Linked DNA regions of Danio rerio. The protein of the gene in region 1 purifies or fractionates together with the protein of each later gene. This does not show direct contact. Links are inferred from orthologs where the notes say so. Each region holds a gene or a part of one and is shown on either strand. Other genes may lie near its edges. The genes, in order: kif5aa and klc1a.

Region 1 (3,832 bases):
GGCTGAATGGTGTATACACTAACCATGATTCAGTCTCTAGATGGCGCCAAACATTCAAAAGCATGAGCGTGTGTAACAGGTCATATTAGATCGCTCCACTTGCACACATTAAAATACTATAAAAAAGGAAGGGATTAACGTGTTTACTGTTTTACATGTAGAGCGCCGCCTCTGTTACCTCATAAGGAAAATTCATTGTGATGTGTGGGAAGAAGAAGCCAGTGCACGAGGGCTGGTTGAATGTCTTTGCGCTCATTTTTGTTCTGTTTTTCACAGACAATAAATCACCAAAAGATCAAAGTTGATAAGTGTTCACACAACGCAGAAGAGGCGCAAAAGACTAGTTACATTGGTGCCGTGACCCGGATGAGAGTTATGTTTAGGGGGGTGAATGTAACAGAGGCCAGCAAGTAAGTGCTGGCCATGGTCTTTAGCCTCCTTGTTAGAGCAACCGACTCCCATACAAAGAGTTGCTGGTTCGATCTCAGTTCGGAGCGGGTTGGGTGGTGTAGGACCGGCGGGGTTACATTGGTGCCGTGACCCGGATGGAAGTGAGGCGGAGGCCAGATAGTAAGTGCTATGCAGGTAAACCTCACTCCTCTGACCTCTAAAGGTGCTCTAGCGACAGATGCTAGAGACCACGATCTTCAGCCTCCTTGTTAGAGCAACCGACGCCCATGGGGAAGGTCACTGGTTCGATACCAGCTCAGAGCGGGATGGGTGCAGTAGGACCGGCGGGGTTACACATGACCGAAAAAAGCATATGAATATGGATGAAAACATTCACTGACGGTCAAGATGATTCAAAATACCCAGAGTAGTCTGTGTCAGTAGTTTCAGCAGCTGTTATCTGAGAATAACCATACATTGGAATGTCACAACTGATCAGAATCAAGTATTCCAGACAGCCGTGTAGTAAATAAATCATTCAAAAATAGGATAGTTGAAGTAAGACGTGCTATTTTTCACACTAGTCTTACAAGTGTTGGAGGCATCACAGTATCCTGTAAGATGTTACTGGTGTAGCTAGTGCTGGCATTGCAGTGGAAAAGCAAATCACTGCACTGAACTGCATCAAGCTGTGTCATTCAGGGGAAAAGCATCGAATGTTGTGTCCTCACCGCTTTCTTACCTTTCTAGGCCAACCTGATGGAGCTGGAGGCGGAGCTAGCGCAGATGCAGGAAGTGAGCTCACAGCAGAGGAAGCGCATCGCTGACGTGTTGAACGGCCTGATGAAGGATCTCAGCGAGTTCAGCAGCATCGTCGGAAACGGAGAACTCAAGCTAGTAAGACCAGAGAGCACATTCCCTTTAGGTTTATTTTCATCTGCTCATAGCTGATCGATGAGCTAAACAGGCTATCTGTCTCTAATAGAGGCAGTGTGAGCAAAAATCCTGGTTTGAGTCATTTTATGCAGTGATTTATTTTAAGATATAGTTACTTACATAAAATAAAAAGGGTTATAATAACTATAACCCAGAATAAACCCTGACAGGTTTATCAGCAGCTGCTGTAAAGACTGAAGGGGTTATTCTGTGATAACAACCGCCTGCGTGTACTTTATCCTGCTTATTACACAGCTACTGACCACAAAACAGAAACGTTAGACACAAAGCATTGTTCTGAGCCATACTAGTTCATTAATTCTTTAAAGACGAAGCTGACAGACATGAAATGGCTGAATGGTGCATACGCTAACCTGCACATTATTCAGTCTCTAGGTGGCGCCAGACAGACAGTCAGAAACAGCAGCGAGACAGACACGCATGTAAATATATATGTAGACGTATTCACTGACGGTCAAGATGACTCATTAGTTTCAGCAGTGGTTATCTGAGAATAACATGTATAATGTAGCAACTGACCAATCAGAATCAAGCAAATACAGCCAATGCAAACTGACTGTGTGACGTCCTGAGTCCACTGATGAGCTGATGCACAGTAGCGTCAGTTGCAGAAGTGTGTGTGTTTATGGTGACAGTAATCTGTGTGTGTGTGTAGCCGGTGGAGATCAGCGGTGCGATTGAGGAGGAGTTCACCGTGGCACGTCTCTACATCAGCAAGATTAAATCTGAGGTGAAGTCGATGGTGAAGCGCTGCCGGCAGCTGGAGAACATGCAGCTGGAGTGCCATCGCAAGATGGAGGAGACCAGCCGGGAGCTGTCGTCATGCCAACTGCTCATCTCACAGGTGTGTGTGTGTGTGTGTATAATTCATGACTATGCGAAGATTTTAGGCTGTTATTGAGTGTATTTACTTGATGTAAATGTGTGTGAATCTACATTTATCCAGTTTTATTTTCATTTCAAAAATCAATCTGCATATTTTTACCACATTCTGCACAGAAATAGCACAAATGTAGACAGATTCTGTCTGGCTCTGGGTATGACAGTGTTGTTACAACATTGAGGTGGTTTATGAGGACATGTCTTGTGTCCTCTAATTCAAAAGGCTTAATAATCCAATCGATGGGGTCTTTTCACATCCAGAGTCTGCCACAGGTTTGCTGTGAGGGCTGGGTTTAGGGGTAGGGGAACACTGGTTTTTAATGTGAAAAAATACATTACCGGCATCACGGTGGCGCAGTGGGTGGCAGGATCACCTCACTGCAAGAAGGTCTCTGGTTTGAGTCTCGGCTGGGTCAGTTGGTGTTTCTGTGTGGAGTTTGCATGTTCTCCCCGTGTTGGCGTGGGTTTCCTCCGGGTGCTCCAGTTTCCCTCACAGTCCAAACACATGCGCTATAGGGGAACTGATCAACTACACTGGCCGTAGTGTATGAGTGTGGATGAGTGTGTATGGATATTTCCCAGTGATTGGTTGCAGCTGGAAGGGCATCCGCTCTGTAAAACATATGCTGGAAATGTTGGTGGTTCATTCTGCTGTGGCAACCTTTGATTAATAAAGGGACTAAGCCGAAAAGAAAATGAATGAATGAATGAATGAATGAATGAATGAATAAATGAGTTGACGGTTCATTCTGCAGTGGCAACCCCTGATTAATAAAGGCACTGAGCCGAAAAGAAAATGAATGAATGAATGAGTTGCCGGTTCATTCCGCTGTGGTGACCCCTGATTAATAAAGGGACTAAGCCGAAAAGAAAATGAATGTTTGAAATTACATTTCCCCCCTATGGAAAGTCCTCATAAATCACCAATACCAGTATAAGTAAGTGTGTGTGTGCCATATCGAGTAAATGTCAAATAAATGTGACTGTAGTCTATCCTGTTAACTTTGTGTCTTCATGTGTGTGTGTGTGTGTGTGTGTGTGTGTGTGCGTGCGTGTGTGCGTGCGTGCGTGTGTGTGTGTGCGCAGCATGAGGCAAAGATCCGTTCTCTCACAGAATACATGCAGAACGTGGAGCAGAAGAAGAGACAGCTGGAGGACAACTATGATGCTCTCAGTGAAGAACTCTACACACTGCAGAACTCTGGTGACACACACACACACACACACACACACACACACACACACACACACACACACTGCAGTTCATCACTCTTATGCTCTGGTCTTCAGACTCTTCTGCTTCTATCACAGATTTTGGTTTGAGTGAACTGAATAAGAGGACTGGATTCAACAAAGTCCAGCTCCAGCATTAGTCTCTTAGCAGATGAATGAGGAATACTGATATTGAATGTGCACTTTTAGAGGGATATACGTTAATACACACAAATACTTACACTGCTAGATTTCATTTTTACAGAGACAGTGATATGACATTTGTTTTGTAATGTGTCATATCTTTATGTGTCGTATGTGTGTCAAAAACAACTGAGCTGAAGTCAAGAGGACGTGTTTCAGATTCAGACTGAGCTCAGTTCTGCACTGC
Region 2 (3,832 bases), on another chromosome or scaffold:
TAGTAGTACTCCACTTCTTCATACTTGCCTTGGTTCTGACACAGTAAGGCCAGATTATTTAGCTGTTTGGCAACATCAGGGTGGTCCTTCCCCAGCACCTGACAAACACATGAATATCTCACATTATTGACCTGCTGCAGACTTATCTGTCACACTGACGGCTGCAGTGTAAACCACCAACAGAGAGTATATTACCAGGTTATTCAGTTGTTTGGAGAGGTTAGCTCTTACAGTATGGATTGTAATGCATACCATTGGGGCTGCAGGAATGAGAATCCAGCCTTTAAACTGAAATATACTTTTTAAATGTTGTTTAAACAAACATTAAGCAGTTCACTGAACTGCTTTAACTATGCAAAGATGCACTAATCATGTTCACACTTGCTGCTTATTGGCCACTGTAATCTATTTATGTCATATTAGATATAGATAAAATAGCCTAAGCTATTGAAATCATTTAAAGTATTACAATTATCGGATATATAAAATTTTTTTAAATAAATAAACCAATATAAAACAAACAGGGCGAAGCAGTGGCGCAGTAGGTAGTGCTGTCGTGTAGTACATTTAAAAAAAATGAATGAATGAATGAATAAAACAAACAATAGCACTAACAATTTAGGCATGTGTAATAAAAATAAATTATAAATTATATTATACAGTTTTAAGCCATTTTAAACTTTATTTAACAAAGGCCTACCTGAAAAATAGTTTATATTTTTTAGATTTTAGATATTTTCTAAACAACAGAGGAGTCTTGAAATATTATTTATAAAATATTTAGATATGATGATATAAATCAAATTAGGCAAACAGAGCATATTTTGGGTGAGCAAAAACATCAAAAACTACCTGTTCTTTTCTGTCATGCAGTCCTACACTGCTTTATAAACGAATTGCATTCAAATTCTAATTTTAAATGTAGAGCTTTATAAGAAGGATATTTCATATTTTAAATCGTAATTTTTCAAATAAATCTTGCTTGGGTCGTTCTGAAATATTTAACATTACTTTAGTCAAATGTATGATACTTTTTTTTCTTAAACCAGATGCAGATTTTAAATAGCTGCTGTGACGCGAACACAACAATATAGGCTAGCCTATATTTTATTATTGCTCTACGGTTTCCTTTACTTAAGATGACCGAATAATATGCAACATCCTTAAATTATTCTTTTAAATAAAGGGGAATTACCTATTAAGTGTCACATAGCCTATGAAAATAATGTTTTTAGATCTCTCCGGAGAATTAGGATTAACCTTTTGATGGCATCTACCGAAACGAGAAGGTATTAAAATATGATTTAAACCGAGTTATTACCAGAGAAATTCAGTGGTATTATATTAGCCTATAGATGGTGTACTGGGTCATCATCCCTCCGTTAGTTTTAAGACCACTCGATGCACGATACCAAGAGCAAAGACCATAGAAAACACAAGACATGTCACTCGTATAGTTTTTTATGAGGTAAGTGTAACATTCAATATGGCGAATAGAGCCCTGCCTTCTAGTACAGGAGCCAATCATCGATCGCAATAGACAGACGATTCTCCATGGTAGGGGCTCGAACCAGACGTGAGTTTTTGCAGATTTTGTGCGATTCAAGTTGTTTAGAAATTAAACTTAAAAGTTGTTGTTTAAGTTTATTGGTGATTGTTAATATGAAATTTAATCATAAGCTTGGAATGCAATTTTGGAGAATTTGATGTTTCCCCATTCAAACAGAATGCCAGAGCACACTACACGACTGGCGTTTCAAAGATGGCAGCTGAGTGCAATGACACTGGCAGCGTCCAAAACCGCCTACTACTCAGTAGGTATTGCATTTGAATTTAAACGTACTACTCGGCCGTTAGAAAAGTATGTTCTATAAAGTATGAATGTGAAAAGTATGAATGGAATTCGGACGTTTTACATCCGGCATTTTGTTATGGTCACATGACCTACCAGCGTCAGTTGCATCGCTTCACTTCCATTCATGAATTCTCTCGCAGGGCATTATGGGATACCGCAGCGTGCATGGGATGCGCACTCCAGAATCTCGCCGGAAGCAGTAAGTCATCCGGGTACTTCTCACATACTGATTTTCGAATTCTATGAATTCGGACATACTACTCGACTCACATACTGATTTTAGTGTACCATATAGTATGGAAGTATGCAGTTTCGGACGCAGCCATTGACTTTCTTCTTCCTGCTTAACTGGGGAGGTTGTGTGAAGTTTCAATCAGCTAGCAATCTAGGAATGGGGTTTGCATTTTACGCTGTGAGCTATTGACCCAATAGTGAAATCGCAACATGATTTCGGCCTCACTGTTCAAACTCTCTGAGTCTTGGGCTACTTCAGCCTGATGAAAACCCTGGCTCACACTGGCCCGACAGTGGATATGCGGCTAATGATGTTTAGGCACAAGGATGATCAAATTTAGAAATGAAACCTCTAACATTAAAATGGCAAGAGTTTCAGTTTCAATGTATATCCCCTGTGTACATATACGGAAAAGGCAAATACAAAAGAAAGTAGTGATTTGAAAATTTACTTTGACTTGTATTTCATTGCATACAATATGAACACAAATTAGTTCATGTTTAATATGGTCAAATTCATTTTTATCTGTAAATATACATCTTTTCCTGTCATTCAGACCTGAAACACATTTCAAAAAGAGTTGCGACAGGAGCAGATTGGGGCTAGTAATCATGTAAATTGGTTAAATAATGATGCGATTTGAAACAGGCGATGTCAACAGGGAATTGTAATAAAAGATGTCACTACTTCAATATGTTACCTTTGCCGCCGTTCGTATTACTGCAGCGGCGGTAGTTGGTGTGCCAGCAGCTTTTGTATGTTTTTGATAAGTTTTCCATATCATCGCAACCTTTGTTGATTTGGGGTTGTAAATTAGAATCCATTTTGAAATAAAGACTAAATTCATTACTAAGTCACACTCACGACAGGTATGTTTAACACCTGACCCACCTTCTCTCTGATTTCCAAGGCTCTTTTACACAGAGGCTCTGCTTCCTTGTACTTCCCTCGTTTGCCATAAAGAACAGCCAAATTGTTCAGTGTGGCAGCCACCTGCACATACACAAGAACAAGCATGTTTATTTCTACACATAAATTTACTAAAATGTCTAATAACATAAAACAATCAAAAGATCAAATCATTTATAAAGCCAATCATTTATAAACAATTAGTCACTGATTACAAAATGATTATTTAAATGACTGGAAATCTGATTAAGGTCAACTCTGCGGTCTAACATGCATATACACATACAACATTCACCCATGCTGTGTTATAGAGGTGTTCTGATTAACCTTTGATTTAATTACTTCAGTGCATATAGAATTGAATTGTGGAGAGAGAAACAAAAAATAGATGATATATGTTGTAAAGGTGTGTAAATTGTAAAACGGGCTAATAGCAGACCAAAATAAACATAATATTCAGAAAACTGCAAACGTACCACAATAAATTGTATTTAGTATTTATAAATTGTAAGTTAGTATTATCAGTATTAAGTTGAAATGTATGGTATGTAATATATAAAATATAGTATAAATAGTATATATAATTTATAGAAATTTTGGCAATTACAATAAACAACATCTGCTATAAACATAAATATCCCTATAATGAGCAGATAACTGAATACATTAAACCACATTCAATTGAACTATTGTAATATTAAAAATGCTGCCAAACATTAACATACTATAATGCAAAGAAATTAGTAAACTTGAAACTTCATACAAAAAAATCTGAATTTTTACATTTATTACAATTCTGAAATTTCTTTTCTAAAATGCAGTTAGCTGACCAA

Evidence for each region.
Region 2: the proteins of kif5aa (region 1) and klc1a purify together in Homo sapiens (co-immunoprecipitation; 7 studies listed by BioGRID and IntAct, counting the BioPlex papers as one, with this or other methods). This does not show direct contact. The link is inferred for Danio rerio from reciprocal best matches to the Homo sapiens genes KIF5A and KLC1.

Annotation. Positions count from the first base shown.
Region 1 is NC_133184.1:232,317-236,148, reverse strand, and holds part of kif5aa (kinesin family member 5Aa), read left to right. Parts: exon of another isoform or gene 1-830; intron 831-1,140; coding exon 1,141-1,287; intron 1,288-2,002; coding exon 2,003-2,191; intron 2,192-3,315; coding exon 3,316-3,433; intron 3,434-3,821; exon of another isoform or gene 3,822-3,832. UniProt on the Homo sapiens protein: Microtubule-dependent motor required for slow axonal transport of neurofilament proteins (NFH, NFM and NFL). Can induce formation of neurite-like membrane protrusions in non-neuronal cells in a ZFYVE27-dependent manner.
Region 2 is NC_133188.1:17,848,404-17,852,235, reverse strand, and holds part of klc1a (kinesin light chain 1), read right to left. Parts: intron 3,084-3,832; coding exon 2,982-3,083; intron 99-2,981; coding exon 1-98. UniProt on the Homo sapiens protein: Kinesin is a microtubule-associated force-producing protein that may play a role in organelle transport. The light chain may function in coupling of cargo to the heavy chain or in the modulation of its ATPase activity.